Lonchura striata: one gene and its partners. The protein of the gene in region 2 interacts with the protein of the main gene of each other region in a biochemical or structural test. Links are inferred from orthologs where the notes say so. Each region holds a gene or a part of one and is shown on either strand. Other genes may lie near its edges.

Region 1 (7,131 bases), on a different chromosome or scaffold from region 2:
TAGGACATATTTTGTTAGATAAAATGCAATGACATTCAGTCCCTTTGTTAGAGGGCATGAACTACACAGTATAAATATTTCAGCAAGCAGCACTGTATCTCAAATCAAACAACTTGTCTCATTGGTGGCTGCTGCTACATGACACTGCCTTTTCTTTGTAATTCAGAGATCCAGTGCCACAGACTGGGACAGAATAGAAAGTGTCCCAACAGAAAAGAACCTGGGGGTGCTGGTGACAGCAGCTGAACATGAGCCAGGGTGTGCCCAGGTGGCCAAGAAGGCCAATGGCATCCTGGCCTGGATCAGCAATGGTGTGGCAGCAGGACCAGGGCAGGGATTGTCCCCCTGTGCTGGGCACTGGTGAGGCCACACCTCGAGTGCTGTGTCCAGCTCTGGCCCTCACTGCAGGAAAGACACTGAGGAGCTGGAGTGAGCCCAGAGAAGGGCAATGGAGCTGGGGAAGGGTCTGGAGCACAAGTCCTGTGAGGAGCAGCTCAGGGAGCTGGGGGTGTTTGTCCTGGAGAAAAGGAGGCTCAGGGATGACCTTATCACTCTCTACAGCTGCCTGAAAGGAGCCTGTGGCCACATGGGGTTGGTCTCTTCCGCCAGGCAGTCAGCAACAGGAAGAGAAGACACGGCCTCAAGCTGTGTCAGGGGAGGCTTAGCTTGGACATTAGGAAGAATTCTTCACAGAAAGGGTGATTAAACATTGGAATGGGCTGCCCAGAGATGTGGTGGAGTCACCAGGAGCTGTTTAAGGAAAGACTGTATGTGGCACTCAGTGCCATGGTCTGGTTGACAAGGTGGTCTTAAATCACAGGTTGGACTTGATGATCTCAGAGTTCTTTTCCTACTTAATTGAATCTGTGATTCTGCGATTCAGTGTTTTACAATACCAAGTTCTACAGTTTGGATTTGACATACAGAGGAAAGCATCTGAGCCATTGATGGCATTTGGCATTCTACACCTTGCTTCTGACAGAGATGCCCCTCTGGCAGTGACAATCCTGGCTGAAATCTCTCTCAATGAAATCACTGGCAAATTTCCCAATACCTTGAATAAAAACAAAATTAGGTGATATGACCAGAAGATGCATGTGCATCTCTCGTCATACTGAAAGCAGCAAATGTTCATGATCACAATCTAGCAATCTAAACTGAGGGGCTACTGACATCTGGGAGTAAGTTGATTATATTAACACCCAAAGACATAAACAGAATTTATTTACATCACCAAAAAAGATAAGACCTTGACTAAGGGAAATCATGCAAGGCAAAATTTATTCCAACTACATTATATATTTTCTACTTTTTACAATTTCTTTTGGAAAGTGTTTTTTTTTTTTCACTCTTGATGGGTCAATGTAATTCATAATTTATAAAACTGCAGTGCGGGAGATATTTTGCAGAATTTTACAATGGTAAAAGGCAAAACAGAATTACTGTTTTGAGCAGCAGGTACCATTTCTGGTCTAGGACTTGTACTGAAGGTAGCTGCTTTTCAAGCTTAGCAATGGAACAATTAATAAAGAAACCCATTAAGGTCTGATTGTTGCTACTAAAAAGGAAGGTTGAATTTCAGGCCTTTGAAGTAACTGAGAATGATTCAGGCCTCATTACAGAGATATAATCTACATTCATACATTTATGTTAGTGATTCAAATCTATTGGGACAGATTGAATTCCGTTAAATAGTGGATCTTTCCTGTGGAACTTTTCTCAGGCTTTCTCAGGCTAACCTAAGAGGTGACCTGACAATACAAAGTACTGGGGTATTTAGGGATTCAACTGTGCTATAAAAGAAAGGCTATACAGAAGGTAGAAAAAAGAATGAGATATAATCTAAAAAGCTATGTCAGCTTTTCATTTGGACTCTGTTTTGTAAATGCCCTCCTTGTCATCACACAGGATAGAAAAGGACTCTGTGCCTTGCAGTAGTTTAAAGTACTGCCCTGAATATTGCACCTGCCAGAAGCAAATCTTATGTGAAATTCTGTGCATGTTGAATTTTCTGTTCTTAAGCACAAAATCTTGCAACCAATATATAGATAGTCATGAGCTAGAAATACAGCAAAACTCTTCCTGAGTAAATTCAATATAGTACCTATTTTTTTCAGGGTTAATTATAGGTGTTTAACCCCCAAATTATTTCTAACTCCAGCCAGAGATCCTAAAATGCCAATTCACTTTATTTTCCAACATTTGCCATGAAAAAGAGAAAAACAAAAAAGAAAGACAAATTCAAATCTAAAAGTTTAATATATTATAGAAATTTTTTATAATTTAAGCTGTTAGAATAAAAATTACTTCAATTTTAGAAATAATGTCTTCATGACCCTGGCAGCACTCAAACATTGACCTAAGCTTTGTAGACACACATGTAAGATGTCAGGCATTCACAGAAAGGAGAGGTTTGCTTTACATTTTGTCTTGCTACTCTACTTTTTTAAAATTAATTACCAAAAGGAAAAGCCTTTGGCAAAAGGAAAGCCTAAATCAGATTTGTAAAAAGAAAGATTTCTGAAATGCTTTGCACTCAGTGCAAATACATGCAGAATAAATAATCTGAAGTACCATAAACAACATCGTAAAACATATTGATTTTAACATTAAATGGTTTCATTTTTAAGGCTGTTTAAATGTCACCCCCAGCAGCTGAACACATAAATTTAGGAACCAACTCTCTCCAGAATAAACACCACAATTGGAGAAAATAATTTCTAATTTCTGTTGTGAAGTAAACAATATATTTAACATCCTAATCTAATGAATCTGTCTAATTTTAGAACTGTTTGTTCTTCCTGCATTTTCTGTTGTTTAAAGTAAGATTTACTCCAAATGCCAAATGAAATCACAAAGGAGGTTTTCCACTGCATTCCACTGATCTGCATTATTTAACTGCTTCTATTTCAAAAAAGTTTTGGGCTTACTTATTGAGCTACTCACTGTGTTTCTGTACCTATGTCCCTAGTATTCCATTCTCTTAGCAAATGTTCCATCTGCTTGTGTTCCAAAACAGCTATTTAACAGTGCTAAATACTGATTAAAATATAATAGCTTGCATGCTACCCATACCCTGTCAGTTCCTGATGCTTTTTTCCGGTATTAAAAGATAGTATATAATATGGAAGATGCTTGTTGATTACAGGGAAAGTTGACAGTTCAGTAATGGGCTAGAAATGTGATTCTTACATTCAATATGTGAATGTGTCATAACATTCAGTATGTGAAATGATAAATCCACTGGAAGAGATGGAATCATAGGAAGAACCAACATATGCCCCTCCAGGAAAATAATAGCTTGAAAAATCGCTTAAAATAGCCTTGAAAATGGAAAAATTGTTTCTTTCTGGCAAGGGAAACTGCATTAGTTTTAAAAAAAATTTAAAAAGACAGAAAAGTATTCAGACAGATTTTATGGGGAAACCTTTGCAATGCCAATAAAATCCCTTTTGCTTTGAAGTCAGACGCGTGATTCAGTAAACGACTCATGTTAGCAATTAGAAAATGGTCATTTAGGGCCCTTATTTCTTTTGAGACAAGGAGAGTAAGGGTGGGGAAAGAGACACAATAAATCTTGAGAGGCTTAAAAGGAAGAACAGGCTAAAGTGTGAACTTTTTATTTCAGCAACGGAAGCGAGAAATCAGTGATTCATTGAAGGAGGGAGAAAGACCTCCATGCAAGCTGGCAGAGAAGAAGGAAAAGGAGCTAATTATGTCTCTTCCCTTTTTACTCTCTCTGACCAGCATATAATCTGCCTTTCCAGGGTCTGCCTGTAGTATATACTCCTTTCCAACCTCTCCACCCAACCCCTCCTCCAGTCGGGGGGAGGGGGAGATCTAGCAGGCAACAAGCTCCAGGTGGCTTTCTCAATCACTTCACTGCCAAAAAAAATAAAATAAAACCCTCCACTAGAAAACAAGTTGGGGTTTTGGGGGTTGGTTTTTGTTAGTTTGGGGAGGTTTTTTAAAAGAGGAGGTTGGTTGGTTGAGGTTTTTTTATGGTTTTATTTTGGGGGGGGGGGGGGGGGGTGTTGGGAGAGAGAGAGTGGGGGAAGAGTGAAGGGGGAGGGAAGCCTCGCTGGAGGGGATTGGTTCAACTTGGAAGACAGGGAAATTAGTAAAGCATGAGTCTCTAAGCCATGCTGGTGGCCGGCGCTCCGAGGAGAAGGACGCTTTAGGAGCAATTAGCAGCGAGCCGAAGGCGGCGGCTGCCGCAGCCCGGGAGGAAGCGAGGGCAGCTCCCGGGGCTGCCTCCGCAGCAGGCACTGCTCGCTCCAGCTGCAAAAAGGTTTCAGATGTCCCACCACTGCCTGACCCCCTGCAAATAAGGGCTGACCACCAGAGGCACATCCCACCTCTAACTTGTAATCGCTGACATTTAGGCTAGAGCTTCCAACCTGTTTACAACCGAAGGGGGAGGGAAAGGAAAGGAAGGGCGGGGGGAAACGTTGGGATTTCTCCTTCTCTCTTTCTTTTTTTTTTTTTTTTTTTTTTTTTTTTTTTTAATTCTGTTCTGGAGAATTCAAAGAAAACAAAGAAACTTCCTTCTCTGGGGTTGTCAGTGAGAAAAGGACGAGTTGTGCAACTGTTTTGGGATTTGGAAAAGGCAAGAGGGTGGGGATCAGAAGAAGGTGCAAAGCCACAAAACGTGAGTGCGCGTGTGTGTAAAGGTGTATGTGTGAAAAGTCCATTCCGGCAACCCCTTTCCTCTGGCTATTATTTTTCTTAGTCTTGTTTTTTGTTGTTGTCATTGACTTTGCTGTCATCTATTTTTCAGACCTTTCTGCATCAAAGATGGTGAAGAAAGGAGTGAGGAAGAGAACAAAATAACTACTGGAAAGTCTCAAACCAGGTTGGGGAGTGTGTGTGCATGTGGGGGGTGGGGAAGGGAAAAAGAAAAGAGGATTAACCACAGCAACCCCCCCACCCCAAAAAAAACCCAAACCAACAACCAACAGCTCTTTTTTTCTGAGGGAGGACTCGAAGGATTAAAAGGCAGCAACTTCTGAGGCGATTTGTCCCCTGAGTTATGGATGTTGGTGCACTTACTTCAGGCCAGATCAGAGCTCAGAGGAATCTAACCAGAAGCAGCAACCACCGTCTCTCCACTTGCCTTTTACCAGGTTTTACCCTTCCAGTATGTTTCATTTGATAAGACATTTTCCAACGCCCAGAGTTTCAGTACAATGTGCAAATGGATACTGACAAATGGTGCCTCAGCCTTTTCCCACCTGCCTTGTTGCTGCTTGCTGCTGCTCTTCTTGGTGTCTTCTGTGCCTGTCACCTGCCATGACCTCGGCCAGGACATGCTGTCCCCGGAGGCCACCAACTCCTCTTCTTCATCATCCTCCTCCTTCCCCTCGTCCTTCTCCTCTCCTTCCAGTGCGGGGAGACACGTGCGGAGCTACAATCACCTCCAAGGAGACGTGCGCAAGAGGAAGCTCTATTCTTACAACAAGTACTTTCTCAAGATCGAGAAGAACGGCAAGGTCAGCGGCACCAAGAAGGAGAACTGCCCGTTCAGTAAGTACGGCTCTGCCGCCGCGCTGCCGGGCAGGAGCCGCGGCGCCCCGCGCCCGAGCCCCGGCTGCGCAGGGAAGGGAGAGGGGGCGCCGCGGAGGGAGGGGGCGCACGGCAGGCTTGGGTGGGCTCGGCTCGGCTCCTCAGGGCTCGGCTCGGCCAGCCCGTATCTGCGAGTCTCTCCGGTTACATTTGTTTTGCAAATGGCCTCGCTGAGCACCGTCTGTTTCTTCGCCAGGCAGAAGAGCAAATTAGAAAGATTTGCAAGGAAGTGGCGGGGAGTGTGTGGGGGACATTGTCTCCTGAATCTGAAAATCATTATTCCCTGTCATTAGAGTGCCTTGACGAGAGCGCTGCATTGGAACAATTAATCGGTTGCCCGCACGCTCCTCTCCCCGAGCCGCCCGCTCCGCGCTGCCTCCTCCCCGCTCCCGGAGAGGGGTGTTTATTCCTGCGGCCGGGGTCTGCCGGGGTGCACTCTCCGCAGCGGGGGTGCCCGGCGGCGCTGGAGCCGGTGCGCGGCCGCGCTGCCGCCCGCGGTGCGGCGGAGGCGGTGCCGTGCTGCGCCCCGCCGGTCCCGGGCTGCAGCGCCGCTATACCGCTACTCGCTCCATTGTAAACATCTGGGGCTGCCTTCCCACAGACCTCACACGCGTTTCATTGTCCCTTTTTTTTCTTTCTTTCTTTCTTTCTTTTTTTTTTTTTTAAATAAATTATTTCAGAGCAAAAGTCATACGGCAGTCTCCATAGCTGATGTTTCGAGCTTTTCTCTAGAATTAATTAGATGCATAGTAATAGGATGCTTCTGGTAATGTATTTTTGGCTGCTAGTTCTAGAAATGTATCCTTTACTTGGTTTTCCTGCCTGTGCAGTCTCAAATTGATCTGTACTAAATCACAATATATTGTCTTCTCTTAAAATCTTAACTATGTCCCACTATAGGAGCATGCTGAGAAAGTAAGCTCTGTTGCGCAACTCAAGGAAACTCTAAGGCTTTCTTCACTGGTAAAGAGCCACATTTTGGTTCTTGTGTTGTTTTATGTAAATCCAGATAAACCCGTGAATAAATCTGCTGTTAAATTAAAACAACTGAAAGTGAATTAAGTCGATCCCTTGTTTGCAAATGTGTAAAATACATACAGCAGGTTGCCATGCTATATGATAGACACTGCTGTTAATTCAGCTGTATTTCTAATAAATACCCATAATATAACCTTAGAAAAAGTGATAAAAGGGATGGAGTATCATGTGTTGCTGTTCACTTCCTCCACCTTGCAACTTCATGCTTTATCACTTACTCTAATGTTTGTAAATGCTTTAGATGTCAAAGCAGCTGAATCTTACCATGTCCCTTTCTGTATTACATAGAAAGGCAAAATCTTAAAAAACAGCAGTGAGAGAGGCTTAACTGATGAATTTGTGAGGAATGAGGTCCTAGAACGGTGTTTCTTAGATGACCCTTGGATTTGGAGGACAGCACCCCTAAAATGGGATTCTGAAAGCTTTGCATGCATCTCCGAGAACATCAAACCATTCTGTATAGCACACTGCTGCCGAAAAGGGCTGTAAGGTGCTCACTCTGACAGCAGTGTACTCAGGCAAGTAACT
Region 2 (6,965 bases):
GTTTTTGTATGAAATAACTTTTCCCTAAGACACTGAAAAATCTATAGAGCAACTTTGCCTGTCTTTGAAAAAAAAAAATCAGAAGTGGGGTCCTATTATTTGCTCTTGGGTACCCTAAAAAGGAGTTTGAAGCTGCCTGGAAAGAAAACCATAAACATTTTGGAAACCAGGTAAATATTTTAGCTGCCAAAGTTTGAGTTTAGACACTTAGCTTTGGAAGAACTTCAAAGAAAAGAAAAATCTTAGACAAGCATTTAATCATATCCAGCATGAGCAGGAGAAATTTTTGGATGGGACAGTTGGAATAACAGGGAAGAATTGTTGATTCCCATTGTCTTTCATGGAGAAAACCCTCGGTGATGTGTGTGGTTGAATTTGGATTTAGGGAGTTTCTCCCCAAAGACCTCTAAGACTTGAATGTGTGGGCTTTCATTTTCTTTCATTTTTTTCCCTGCTTTAACTCCATGTATTTTATTGCTGTTTCCATCAGCGGCATGTTGGCAGGTCCTGCACCTGGAGAATGGTGCAGTGCTGCAGAACCTCCTTCCCCGGGGTACCCATGGCCTCCCCTGCCATCTGCCAGGAGCTGGGGCTGCTTCCTCGCTGGAATTCCACGGAGGAGCCGCTTCCCGCGGAGCTCTGCCTGCCCTGATATCTCCAGCACTTAAAAGAAATGTCAGAGAGTCTGCGGGGATTAGAAGAACTGAGAGAGCTCTGTGCTGTGCTTTTTTCCGAGGTGACTTTTCCCGCATTTCTCGGAGGCGCTGCCTGCCCGTCTCACCCCATCTCCCCGCAGACACGAGCTGCTTGCCACCTGCTGAACCTTCTGCCTTCATCCCTTCCAGCTGGGCTTCTATGGATGAGCTGGTCCAGCCCAGGAGCAGCCTGAAGTCGGGCACATCTTTACCCCCCCAGGTAAAAGGGATGTTGGGAGGGAATGAATCCATTCCCTAACTTTTTGCCTTCATCCCTTCCAGCTGGGATGAAGGGATGAGCTGGTCCAGCCCAGGAGCTGCCTGAAGTCGGGCACATCTTTACCCCACCAGGTAAAAGGGATGTTGGGAGGGAATTAATCTATCTCCTCAGTTTCTGCCTTCATCCCTTCCAGCTGGGATGAAGGGATGAGCTGGGCTCTGCTGGGTCCAACCCAGGAGCTGCCTGAAGTCGGGCACATCTTTACCCCGCCAGGTAAAAGAGATGTTGGGAAGGATTGAATCCATCTCATCACCCAGCTGTGCCCTCGCTGCAGCTGGAGCAGGGCTGGGACCCTGCTCCTGTTGAACATTAACTCTATCCCTGCCTGCGTGCAGAGGGAGGACTGGAGCTGGGCTGACAGCAGCGACAAAGAGCTGGCAGGGCTGAAAGATTCAATTTAACTTTCTTTCTCCTCCCCCGCTTCCATATGCGAGGGCACACAGCGCTGTTCCTGCTTTTGAAACTTGCGGGGCAAAGGAGCATTGGTGTCCTCATTTTCCTTCCTCCCTATTGATGTATCATTGCCAGGATGAAAAAGGACGTCTCAAGAGCTTTTGAAAAAATGGGTGACTACTCAAGACATTTTATAAAGGAGGAAGAATGGGAGAGAAAATAGGACTCGGTAGGGGGTAGAAGGAGCCTGAATGTGTGCCTTGTCTGTCTATTCTTTAGCTTGAAACCTGGAGCTGTTGTTCCTATTTCAGTTCAAACTGTCACCTTTAGTTCATGATGGCTTTACTGCCCTTGCTCCTGAACCTCAACAGATTGGGGCTTATTTACCTATTCACACTCTGCTGTGGAACCTCATTAATAGGCTTATTAGCCACACCATTCACGTGCAGGAGGGCTCACAGAAAGGATCCCAGCCACTTTGAGAGGAGGAGGAAAAAACTGTAAAGAGATTATGCTCTCATTCAGCAGCCTAACTGCTATGAAAGGCTCCCTGGGCCCACTGAGATCTCTTGAAGCCTAAATATGATGACAGAATTGATCCCCCCCCCCCCACCCCTTTAATTCCAAACATGCTTCTGCTTTTCTCAGATTGAGGAGCTGGGCTGTTGTGGGCCACTTTAGGAGAATGTGGCTCATTTAAGAGAAAAGGCTGCTATTGATAGACTGCTATCTTTTCATCCTCCAAAAGAATAAATTCTGACAAGTGCTTCCAGACCTTGGAAATAGGTGTTCTGACTTGTCATTTTTAGTGGAATGCTTCCTTTTCTTTCAGAGTATGCAAAGATATCGATGAATGGGGAAAGGTATTGCAGCTTCCTGTGCCGGACAATAATTTATGTGAGAATGTGTTAACAATGTTTTCAATGGGCGATGGACATGCCCGGTGCTGGGAAAATTGGATCTTGACTGTGACATCTCAGCTTCTCAATTAGTAACATTCAGATGTCTGTTGCTTTAGGAACAACAAAAAAACCCCGCAAAAACAAAAAACGAAACCTGTGTTTCCAATCAATTACAAATTTGTCTGCCCTCCCTCATAAAGGCTGCAGTAGTGGTGGGAAAATACGTGCTGGGAGGTAAGTACAGAAAACTTGAAGTTTTTGGTGTCTAGGTGTGTGGAAATAGTCTTACACTACGATGCGTGGCCTCAGTCCTTGAAAATCCCCTTGATCAATACTTCACACAACATATAAAATGTACAGTAGAGCTTAAATAAAGTAACATTAAATTGATCAACACTGATTAAATTTGAGGCAACCACCACTTATTGATTTTGTTGTCAAGCTGATTCTACACAAGCAAGCATTACAGACTCCATATTCAAAACCTTTGAATGGTTGATGGTATCTAAAGCAAATGTTTTATTAAGCAAGGATCAGGCTAAGCTATATTGAATTCTGAATACCAATATTATGCAGTTTTAAATCCGTGTGGCCAAACAAATGATGTTTGCATAACTTTTCGACAACTTTTCCCATTTGGGCACCACACGGGTATTAAAAGTGCACTGTCAGACCAACTCACGGGGCAGCTGGAATCAAGCTTTGGATGAGAGGCTCCTGAGGGTAATTTTTGGAGCGGGTGTTATCCAGCTACCCTCTCTGGATGGGACTGGCCGCTGGCCAGCCGTGGCTTCTGAGCCAGAAACACTGCAGGAGAGGTTTCGGGGACAACTGCCGAGCTGGTACCATTTCAGCGTGAGGATGCAGACGCTGCCCAGCGCCGGGGTGGCGGTGCCGCAGCCCAGGCTCACCCGCTGCGGCGGCGCTTTCCGCGCACCTCTCCCTCTCCCTCTCCTTTCCAGCCCGCTGGAAAAACTTTCAGCGGAGCAGCCGGCCGGGAGCAGCGCGGGTTCCTGCCCTCGTCCCCGCGGCCGCCCCGGGATGCGCTGCCCCGCTGCCCCGGGCGGGCAGGGCCGGAGCGCGGCTCCCCGCTCCCCTCCTGCCCCGCGCCGCTGCTGCCGCGGGGGCACCCGCGACCCCCGGGCGGGGTGGGGGCTCCCGGCTCCGCACCTCCGAGGGCTCGGCGGCGATTGGCAGAGCCCGGCAGCGCCGTCCAGGAAACGGCTCGGGTTGCAGCGGGGGGAGTGACCGGGGGAGGAGGAAGGAGCCGGAGGAGTGCGCCGAGAGGGGGGGAGAAGGGGGCAGAGAAAACCCACCTCCCACCCGAGGGGGCTGTCGGCGTGACAAAGCTGCGGCGGCTCGGGGCGGGCGGCTGGATGGAGCGGAGCGGGACCCGCGGCGCGCTGCTCGGCGATGCCCGCGCGGGGGAGGAGGCAGCTGGCGCCGGGCACGGCGGGCTCGCCCCTGTGAGGCGGTAGCCGCCGCGGCCGAGCCAGGGCACGGCACGGGACGGGGCGCCGGGCCGGCTCCTGCCTCGCCTCGCCGCCCTCCTGCCTGCCCCGGGCGCGTCCCGCGGGGGATGCGCGGCGCTGCGCCGCTGCGGGCTCGCCAGCCGCGGCCGCCCGCGCCGTGACCGCGGCCGCAGCCGCGGGAGTTCCGCCCCGTCCCGGGAGCCGCCGCTCCGCAGCGGAGCCCGCCCGGCGCTCTCGCCGCAGGTAAAGGCAGCGGGCGGGCCGGGGAAGGGCGGCCCGGGGCAGGGCTGGGGGTCCCGCCGCGCTCCCGGCTCCGGGCGGGGCTCGGGGGTCCCCCGGTGCGGGGCTGGGGGTGCCCGGGCCGGGATGCGCCGGTGCGGGGCTCCCTTTGCTCCGCGGTGGAGCTGCGGGTCGCGTTGCGGTCGCTCGGTCGCCGCTGCGGTGCGGGGGGAAGCCCGAGCAGCAGCGCTGTTCCCCTGCCGTTCCCGCATCCCCGTGGGTGTCTTCGGGGATGGTTCCAGCGGTGACAGCAGCACGGGCGGAGGAAGGGAGGCTCGCCCCGGAGGAGCAGCCCCGCCTCGGTAGCGGCCGCGGGTCGGAGCCCGGTCCTGCCCCGCCGTGCTGCGGGAGCGGGGCTGCGGGGCACAACCGCCCCGTCTGGGACAAGGGGGGAGAGAAATCGTCAATGAAATATATATTTAAATGCAAAACGGCCCCTTCAAACTGGGACCCATTATGCGTTTGGTGTGAAACGCTATCAACATTTAAAACTTTATTGTCTCCTTTGTACCAAATCCCTGTAAATCTTCCACTAGCCTTTTCTCATTTTCATCTGAAAAGCCTGTTTGGGCTGAATAGACAGCAATCAGCAGCCTCTGGACTTCTCCCGCTCTCTGGAATGTCAATTAAAATGCAGATTTTTCTTCCCCCCCCCCTCCCCGATCTCTTGGTGGCAAAAGACTTGAGAAAAACAGGATAGTCCTGGAAAGCAAATGAAAGAAGTTCAAACAATGAAAAAGTACTGAAGCTGCCAGCCGGTTCCCATTAGTCCTTCAGAATTAATGTTTAATAGCTGTGATACTCAGATTTGCTTGGCGATTGAACTCTGCTGAAGAGTCTTGTTAGATATATATGTGTATGTATATTTTTATAGATGGATGTATATTTCTGCATTTTCTGTCCATACACAATTCTTCTGTCAGTGGAATTGTGTATATAAAGCTGTTAGCTTTAAAGCTTCTTCAACCTGGATTTTTTCTGACGAAGCTACTAGGCTTTTAGAGCCCTTGAGGTTTCTTTGTGGAGGGAAGATCCATATTTCACTCAGATTTTGCTATTCCCCGCCTAATTGAGAAAGATGCTGAAAAGTTATACAGTGACCAATGCATTGATTTGGTTAACATACTCTACAAATCGTGCTGTCCCTGGGGAGTGATAAACATCTTATAAACAACAATGCAAGTAGATTAAAAAGAACACTGAGAATTGAATTTAATTAATGTCACTGCTGAACAAGTACTACTTGTTTGTGTGTGCGAGTGTGTTTAAACTGAAGTGCAGCTTGGAGGAATTTGGTTGGGCTCCCAAACCAGTCTGCTTTCCCATGCTTGTCAGTTTGGCAAAGAAAATTTGGGCAGGTATGTGACGAGGTGAAAATTGACTTGATGAGCGAGTGGCAAGGAGAGCCATCAATCATTGGGGGCTGACAACTCCTCCCCAAAGTGTAGGCTGAGAAGAGAGACAGAGTTCCCTTTCAAGGGGAAAAATAAACACTACGTGTGGCTTTCACTGAGTCTGAGACTCCAGGAGGGATTATGGTATTGTAGTCAGGAAGCCAGAATTGTGGAGGCCAAAAAGCATGCTGGGGCTGTGTTCCAAACATTGAGATAGAGGTACATAATTATCCAGCACAGGAGGTCTTTCCAGGGACTCGTCCCCCAGCAACTGTGGCAATTAAACTATGAAAAGAATTTGGTGGTTTCGTTGCATCTTCGCTGGACTCCACTTCTTTTGGGAGAGGGCAATCCTTGAAGCCTGTCTGCTGTCCTGGTGGTAGAGTGGTTTGGCTCCATGGATGGGTGCAGAGCTCTGATTTTTGCATCGTTGCGCCTTCGCAAGGCAGGATTTTGGGTTTGCTGCTGCCCTGTGGATGAAGAATCCCTTCTTTCTGCCGGCAGATGTTGAGGTGCAGGAGGCAACAAAAACCTTCAGGTGAGGAGACGCGTGGCCAAGTAGCTTTGTGCCGCTCTTCAGGATTTAGGGTGAGGATAGGAACCACAAATGTGCTGTCAGTGGTGTTTAGTGTAGTCTGAAAATCTGAAACTGCAGGAATGTCAGTGGAATTAATGCTCTTGGAGTTTGAAATACATGCTGGCGTTCTGGTATGTTTTCTTTCTGCAAAACCGTGATAGGATTTTGCATTTATCAACATAGGCTTTAATCGGAGTTTACAGGATGATTTATGGAAATGAAATCAGCATTACAGCCAGGCTGTTAATGAGGGGTTTCTACCCACTTTACAGCTGGATAAACTGAGCTGCAGGGCTGTGGCTGCCAGACAGCGAGGTGGGCAGTGGACCTGGGTGGTGGCATCCAGGGGGGTTTGCTCCACGCACAGAGTGGTCCCAAAACCAGAGCTCTCTTCAGCTCTACACCTGCTCTCTGCTTATTTAGAGAAGGGCCGGGCAAGCTCTTTGCAAATGTTTGTGCAGTGGTCTGGTGGTGTTTTCGCTGGAAATGTAATGGTAGTTGCTAGCTTGTGGTCTGGGATGCTGGAGCCGGGCTGAAATCTTTACAGGAAGGGACAGGGCTTTGAGGTGATACCAACGGAGTTGGAAAAAGCTTGCCCTGAAGTAGCAGGGATTCATCTTGTATTGTTTTCCTCAAGTGATTTATTTATGTCATCCAAAACCTGTTTCTACTGACTCCAAAAGTTACTGTGTATAGTGCCCAAGATAAAAGATGCCCCAGCAGCATTTGTGAACTTTGTAGCAGCTAGCGCAAGGCTAATAAAAATCAGAATCAACTTTTTAAATGGTTGGCTTTATAAAAGGAGAATCTTTGTCCCTGTTTCAGCATGCTGAGGTACCACACCAAATCTTAATGACAAGAAGTTTGGAGAAGGTTTACATTATCTCCACACTCCCTTACTTCTTCTTTTTTTTATTATTTTTTTTATTTTTTATTTTCAAGTGTTGGGGGCAGGAGGGAAAAAGAGGTTTTG
Region 3 (8,049 bases), on a different chromosome or scaffold from region 2:
CTGTTTTTATTCTATCTCCTTCAAAAGTCACTATCAGGATACTCCATTGTCCAAGTGAAAAAAGCCTGGATGGATTTACCTTTGAGTTTACTATTGACTGAGATAGGGTATTCTTAGCCTTTGCTTTCCCTAAAATAAGCTATATACAACATATTTGCTGTAACTAATTAAAATAAAAGGAATTAATTATTTAGTAGCCAAACTATTTGATAATTTGAGCAGGGTTTTTTTCCCAAGTATCTACCACATCCCATTCAATTTTTCCTGTAGATTTAAATCAGCTCAATATGAACTGGATGAATAGGAGGAAACAAAAAAAGGAATGATGTTGAAGCGATCTGTTTTGAAAATTGCTTGGAAAAAATTGCTGTTGTCTTTTCAATATGATTTTAATAACCCATACCAGTTAGCAAAACCAAAAAGACATTCTTATATTCAGGGAGACAAAGGATTCATAGTTACAGTTTTTAATCTCAGCCTTACAACCTGAAAAGATCAATCAAAACTGAGGTGCAATATTCCTTGTCTCTCTTGTTTTTACTGCCTCATTATATGAGTTTATTTTCCACACATGTTGCTGTGTTTCTCAGATTCTGCAACGTTGATAAAAGATTTGCTCAAACTCTAGCACTTTTCTTGTATCTCTTGCATGCAATAACAGTCAGCCTTGATCTGATGCTGATTTCTGAGATGTGGAAACTGTGGATAAAGATTGAACCACTAGAATATTTAGCACCTTCACATCCATGGTATTTTTCCCTAGAACCTTCCAATCCCAGAAGTTTAGCTTTTGCTGCAGGGCATTAAATCCCAAGATCTTGGGTTTAAAGTCAGATACACAGATTTTTATCTTCATACTCTCTTAAACTCTGCAAGTTCTGGGAGATGTTCTAAAGCAAATTCTAAATGGATCAGGAAACAAGGAGGAAGAGATGACGATTCTTAGCAGTGATGTGTTGCCCTAAGGGCAAACTTGACAAAATTGAGGTTTTTTAAAAGTCACATTCATGACCCAATGCTACAGTTGGGCAGTAAATTTGCAGCAGCCCAGCCTGGAGATGAAGAAAGCATGGGACCTTGTGTTATCATCTGAAAGGACAAAAAGTAACTTCCTATGTAAGGAAAAAGGGAATTATCTTTATAAAGTTATATTTTAACTGGAGACCAATGCCCAGTCTTTACAATCAGAAGCAAAGTGTTTGCAACTAATTTCCACTTCCCTTTTCAGCAAGTGCATTGTAACAAAAACTCTTATCAACATTTTGGAAGCACCAATGCATGCATTCAATATTAAAGGATGGCTTACAGCATGTGCATTTTGCACATTTCCATGTTTCCTGTGGTCCTGAAACCTGAACACCTCACCAAAGAAACAGAAAATCACAAGCATTTTAGGTGGAAAATTCCTATATATTATTAAAGAGTTGCTGGACATGCATTTTGTTAAACAGATACAGCACCAAGCATCAGTCAAGCTAAATCTTCTCTAAACATAAAGCAATTCAATTTGAGAGACATTAGTTATGCTTGATTTATCAGATGCATGTTGGGCCATTCAGAGGCTTGGCAACACACGCAGAGAAGCCTGATGTACACATGCACATCCCTTCATTAAAAGATACAGAACTGGACTTGTTGCATAGCAAGACATAAAAATATGTAATTAAGGAAGACTGCAGCTAAAGCATGGTGGAAAGACATTATTCTATAATTACAAAATACAAGGATATGAATGTTAGCAGCAATAATTAAATAGTAACTGCATTGTTCACCAACTAAAATTGGACCTAGTGCCTTATCTAAGCCATTTCTCATTTATTCTTAACTACAAAAGTTTCCAGAGATCTGAAGTGAGGCACCACTTAAGAAAACTCACATCAAGAGATTTATTTTTTCAGAGCCAAGAGAAATACATACTTATGCCTGGACCACTAATAGCTCCAGCTTTCTGGAATTGAAACCTCAGGTATGTATTTTTTCTTCTGGTACTAACTGTCAGAAACAATAAATTAGCAAGGAAAAAGAAAAATTAAAACCAGTATGGATCTGAAAGTGCAGGTTGTTACTGAACATAAAAGACCTAGAATATTTACAAAAACATTTCTACTTACATCCTATTTTGCTGAGTAAAACACAGATTACCTTTTATCCTTGATTGCTTTCTTTATAATACACAACAGATAAGCCTTTTGAATACCACAAATTTTTTTCATTGCTATCATTCTGAATTCAGACTGTGGAATGGGTCAGAGAACATGCTGATATAAATCCAGCAAATGTACTGTAAAAGCCACAAGTGGGATAAGTCACTTCAGTCCTCACTCCTTGTCAGAATGGTGGCATGGGTTGACAAGACAGAAGTCAAACCGGAGACAGCTGTGATCACAGTTTACAAGAGTTAACTAACGACAGCTACTTCTTTGTGTATCAGCTGCAGGTAGGCAGCCTTTGAAAGCCCTCAGCAGTACATCTTTCATATCAGAAAAGTGCATATACTGAGTCTTTTGCTAAAGTAGGAAAATGAGGCTGAGCTACAGAACACAGAAAACAGCCCAGTATGCTGAAATGGGGATAACAACAAGAAAAATCTATCAACTGTGGACTATAGTCATATAGTGTGAAAATGGTTAAAAAAGAATGCAAAGCAAGTGACAAATGGGACTGATCCATGTGGGTGCTGACAAGGAGGCTGTTGATATTAAGGAAGGAAATTACTCATTCTCTCTGTGTATAGGAAAGGCTGAGTACTACAAGTTTGCCTGGTGTGCCTTTTTGTTAATTTTGGATCAGTCCAGTAAAACACCCTGTTTACTTATGTCCCACTCACCACAAGGTGGCACATACGTACTCCCTGGGATTTTTAACTGCTTCTGCAGTTCACTTAATTTTTAATTAAGAGGGAGAAAGGGAGTGGGGATGGGATAAGAACATGGAATCATAAACAGCATATATTATTAGGCAGAAACTATTAAACATAAGTAAAATATTCTTAACAACTGGATTAATTCCAAACTTTCCTTGTTGATATTACTTACTAAAGGGACTGATGTGTTCTCACATCAACAGTGGGGCAGTTAGAAAGGATAAAGAGCTACTGAAAACTTTGCTTCAACGAGTTTTACAAATACACTCAACAGAAACAACAGAATTTCAGGGTGAAATGGAGCATGGGCAGGCCAGTGTCAGAGAGAGAAACAGGTACACAAAAGCAGAAAACCAGGTGTATCCACTCATTATTTTCATTCTCTAGATCTTAAGCCCATTGCTTGGTGTGCAGTATTAGGGGTTTTCTTACATTGCTGCCAGTTTTCATTCTCCCTTTCCGTGTTTCCAGAACTAACTACATATGCTAAGAAAGGCTGCTCCCTTGTAGCAATTTTTCCTTCAAGCTGATAAGGTTGCGTTTGAATGTCAGACTTTGAAACATCCAAATATACTTTCTCATTTTCACCTAGTGGCTGATCAAATAAAACCTCAATGCAGTGGTCCCTCTTTTCAAATCCATGCTATAAAAATATACCTCATGATCTCTAAGGGCTACAGCACACCCTTCTCCAACGTATGTAACAGACCCATGTCTCATATATCCTTCAGAAAGGCACTTAAGCAGACTATGAATCCACCAGACTGCAGAAGAGATTTGAAAGCACACTGAGATAAGCGTGTGAGTACAAAAGAGAGGAGGCGGAATTTTTTAAGGACAGAGAATACTGACCTAAACCAGAGCACAGAAACACTAACTAGCATGTGAAACAATTCTATCCACGCAGCACAAAATATACATTTTTAGAAAGAAGATTCTTGGAGATTTAAACCATAAACTATGTACATAGCTCCCTCTGATGACCACTGGACACGATACAATGCAAGTCTCCTTTTACTTTTGTTCGTGCATTCAACTGACAGCTGACTGGTTAAATTCTAATTGCTTCCAAGTGAGGTCAGCAAAGGTATTTATCGAAAAGGACTGAACAGGCTCAACACACACATGCACGCGCACGCATAAGCACATACACATCTCTCCAGCCTGTTGATTTATGGAAACAATTATAATTCTGGTGGAGTCTTTCTGAGCTGAGAAAGTTTGTAGCTACAGTAGAGTGTCTCATGTTGCAAAAAGGAGACAGCAGAAATGGAGTACATGGGTATCCAGCTCTTATCAACAGGAACAAGTAAGTTATTTGTCCTTTACAAGATTATTCAACAGTTTCTAATAGCTAGTAACTTATTTTTATTTCTGCATGCTAGATGCTAAAAAAATAATTAAGAAAACTATTTTTACTAATAATCTGAAAAGGGTAGGAATAAAACACAGGGCTAAAGCCATGAGGTCTGTTTTGAAATCTGAACTAGAGAAAACTTATATGATAGATTGTGCTAATAGTAAATATATATGTAAGATGTAATCAGGAGAATTTTATCATGCATGAGAGTTGAAATGAATCAATATGAGATTTTTGGAAGGACTTAAAACTGAAGAAAGAACTGTGTTTACAATCAGTGTAAATATCTGGTTATGTAAAAAGTTTTATGAGATATATCTATCGTATATGCATTAGTATATTTTTTAAAATGAGCTCAGCATGTCATGTATTTTTGTGTAGTACTTTTCATTAGCATAATGTATCCTTGCACGTTTGTAACAATTGAGCATAACGACTTACACATGCACCTTTTCTCACAGATCTTTTACTTTCAGTGCAAGCAGCAAATTCAAGTAGTAAAGAAGGTCACAGCAACAAAGGTTTTTATAACTTGTGTCTTTAAAGGATATTCTGACTGAAGAGATATTTAAGAAGCTCTTCTATTTCGCCATTAACATTAAGGAATAACGATCAGAATTCTAGAAGAGGGAGCAATCTCACTTAAATGAATCTGTAACTCATAAAGACAGAAAGCAGGTCGGTGACCTAGAAGCAACAGTCTACTTGAGATTTAATTTTCATTATGTTGTTCATGAACACCCAGAACACTGCACTATAATGCACAAATGGATACTGACATGGATCCTGCCAATTTTGCTCTACAGATCATACTTTTACATTATCTTTCTAATGGGCACTATATCTTTAGCTTGCAATGACATGACTCCAGAGCAAATGGCTACAAATGTGAACTGTTCCAGCCCTGAGCGACATACCAGAAGCTATGATTATATGGAAGGGGGGGATGTAAGAGTGAGAAGACTTTTCTGTCGAACTCAGTGGTATATGAGGATTGATAAACGAGGCAAAGTGAAAGGGACAAGAGAAGCAAACAACAACTACAGTAAGTAATATTTTTGCTTTTCCTAAGTTTTTAGAAATTTACATATAATTTTTTCCTATCCATTGATCTATCATAATTCCAGAAGAGTTTTGTATCATGTACTGGCCATTGTGTAAAACAAGTTTTCCAATTAATCGTACAGCAGGACATTTGCTATTGATTTTGAAATGCGTCATTTTAAATACTGCATTGTAGATCTGTTAATGTATTAGTTACAGCTGGGAACTATTAGCAAACAGAGAGCCTATTTTAACAAGTGAACTAAGGTTATATGTACGAAAATGTATAACAACCAACTCTCCTCATAAAATACTCCTGAAACATTAAACCACTTTTATATAGTGCACAAACTACCTAAAAGTTTGGTGTGTTTGAGTTAACAATTAAAACATAGAAATACTAGAAAGTTCAATGGAAAGAATTATGTAAACTCTCTTGCAAAATCTTTTAGACAGTTTGCCAAGCCAGGAACAAAATCTATTATAGTTTCTGCAGTTCATTATTACAATAATCATGATGCTTAAAAAATATTCTCCCCCCATTCTTCTAAAACCATGACTCATCTAGAGAGAATGGACATACAATATTTTATGAAGCTGTATCAAATACAAATTCTGAATTGGAAAAAGAATTGTTGTACTAATATATATTTTCCACATAAATACCTATATAATCTTTGATTAATATTTGAAGACATCAAGTTTTACAGTCACTATTTTTGCCACTTTGTCTTTTGTGTTATTACAAATGTATTGTTTATTCTTCTGCTTGAAAAGGCATTACTTTATTAAGATGCAACAGGAAAATACATAGGATTATACAACATACTTCAAAACAAAATTATAACAAAAAGACCACCAAGGACATGCTGGTCTAGTGCTTAAAGACAAATAAAAGGACAAATATATTTCAAATAATTGCTTTTAAAAATTATTAAATTTGTTGGATATAATAGTGTGCTTTTTATAATAGTAGCAGCAAAAGAAATCCATAAATCAAACTTCAAGAACTGTTAGTGTGTGTCAGCCTCCAGCTGAAGCTGAGTGCTTGTTTTCTACCAGAGCAGCACTTTGGCGTGCTCTGCGCCTGCCTAGTGGGCTTCATCATTTATTTCTTTGCTTCATGACTACATTAAGTGCTTGGCAACTTGTGTGGCTAAAACTGCATTCACTAATGTCACTGTTTCTTTTAAAATTTGTTTCCATATGTCTCCTTTCTTCTTACACTATTACATAGTGAATAACCATATTCCTCTGAAAGACAACATATGGCCAGCAGCCAACTAAATTATTTGGTCCATATTCAAGAAGACTCCCTTTGAGTTTCAGGAGGGCATTGCTACAACAGAGATCCATAGGAATAGTTTTGAAGTGAAATGTTGTTCCCATAAAAAATCATAAATGGAAAAAATGTTACTGACTGTTTAAGCTGATTCTTCTGAATTAATGCAGATAAGTGAATATTCACAGTATCCATTTTTTTCTGTTATTATTTACAATCACATTATGACAGCATCTAGAGCTAAGTAATTTATTATACAGAGTTGCTTTTTTTAGCTCCATAATTCGTAAGTAAAACCTTGTTAGCAATTTAGCATTATTTCAAATTCAAGCAGAGGTTCTCAGTTCTCTGAGGGATCCCATTCTGCTTAAGCGCATTAGCGACACACTTAAACATTCTGTAGGGAGCCCATCAGAGAACACCACATCCCCTTGTGCCAATGATGTAGTCTCTTGCAGTTTCCTGAACACTTCAAGATAATTCAGTCATGGTAACTAACTATTATGAATTACAGAAAGGGAATCTTGAGTCACTAAACCCTTATGTTTACATTATAGTGGAAAAAAAACCCCAATCCTTTTTCTGGTAAATGTAATGAGTATGATGAGAAAAACCATGAAATTGTAATGGTTATCTGCTAACTGATGTGCATTGTGATGAACCATCTTTAAATTGGCAGAAGCACATAGGATACTCCCACCATCTTAACTTTAATTTATCTATAGTATCTTAAGGAATAACACCCAAATGCTTTTGTTGAACAAGTAGATAGGCAAATATAGACAAACAGGACTAGAAAAATGTGAACACTGATAATCTGGATTTTCTCAGAAACTAAAGAAATTAGTACCGCAGCAATATTATGGAAACACTTTTTGTTATACCCTTTGTTCAACAGAAGATGTAAAGACCCTTTCTGAAGATGTGCCTATGGCTCTCTACCAAAATCAATAACCACAAAGAAAATGATATGAGGGGGCAAAAACCAAAACCAACAAAAAAAACCCTGAAAAAATAATGCCCACCTGGACTTGTACACCTTCCTTAACGAAAAAAAAATAACATTAGAAATTTAAACAGTATATTTTTATCCAGGTTCTCTGAAAAGTGTAATTTTAAAATCATACAGATGAAAAGGATGTATTTTTGTGTGTTCAAACATTCTTGTTCCATGATTTCTTAGGATGGAATGCCAGAACTGCTGTAGTCAAACTAATCAATGGACATGAAAAGTGTTGCTCCAAGAGGTTTCTTCTCATTTTATCCCAATTTTCCACTTACATAATAAATAAAAGAAACTGCTTTCCCTTTTGAATGTGCTGCTAAAATTAAATAAGAAATAAGATCATATTTTTACCTATCGTAATTTAGCTTCATGAAGGAAACTGTCCTGAGAGTTTTGTAGCTCAAGTGAGCTACTTCTTTTCAGGCCATGAGGTGTGAAGCATGAATATTGTGATTCACACTGAGAAATGCCTGTAGAAGGATAACTTCATCATA

The links. The genes of interacting proteins can lie anywhere in the genome.
Region 1: the proteins of FGFR2 (region 2) and FGF10 are reported together in a solved structure, tested with the Homo sapiens proteins (3 studies listed by BioGRID and IntAct, with this or other methods). The link is inferred for Lonchura striata from reciprocal best matches to the Homo sapiens genes FGFR2 and FGF10.
Region 3: the proteins of FGFR2 (region 2) and FGF7 form a complex in vitro, tested with the Homo sapiens proteins (3 studies listed by BioGRID). The link is inferred for Lonchura striata from reciprocal best matches to the Homo sapiens genes FGFR2 and FGF7.

The regions. Positions count from the first base shown.
Region 1 is NC_134642.1:34,761,752-34,768,882, forward strand, and holds the start of FGF10 (fibroblast growth factor 10), read left to right. Parts: upstream 1-4,064; 5' UTR 4,065-4,291; intron 4,292-4,507; exon of another isoform or gene 4,508-4,651; intron 4,652-4,780; 5' UTR 4,781-4,855; exon of another isoform or gene 4,856-4,980; 5' UTR 4,981-5,189; coding exon 5,190-5,526; intron 5,527-7,131. UniProt on the Homo sapiens protein: Plays an important role in the regulation of embryonic development, cell proliferation and cell differentiation. Required for normal branching morphogenesis. May play a role in wound healing.
Region 2 is NC_134609.1:28,086,732-28,093,696, reverse strand, and holds the start of FGFR2 (fibroblast growth factor receptor 2), read left to right. Parts: upstream 1-3,894; 5' UTR 3,895-3,985; intron 3,986-6,965. UniProt on the Homo sapiens protein: Tyrosine-protein kinase that acts as a cell-surface receptor for fibroblast growth factors and plays an essential role in the regulation of cell proliferation, differentiation, migration and apoptosis, and in the regulation of embryonic development.
Region 3 is NC_134613.1:14,254,088-14,262,136, forward strand, and holds the start of FGF7 (fibroblast growth factor 7), read left to right. Parts: upstream 1-4,982; coding exon 4,983-5,268; intron 5,269-8,049. UniProt on the Homo sapiens protein: Plays an important role in the regulation of embryonic development, cell proliferation and cell differentiation. Required for normal branching morphogenesis. Growth factor active on keratinocytes.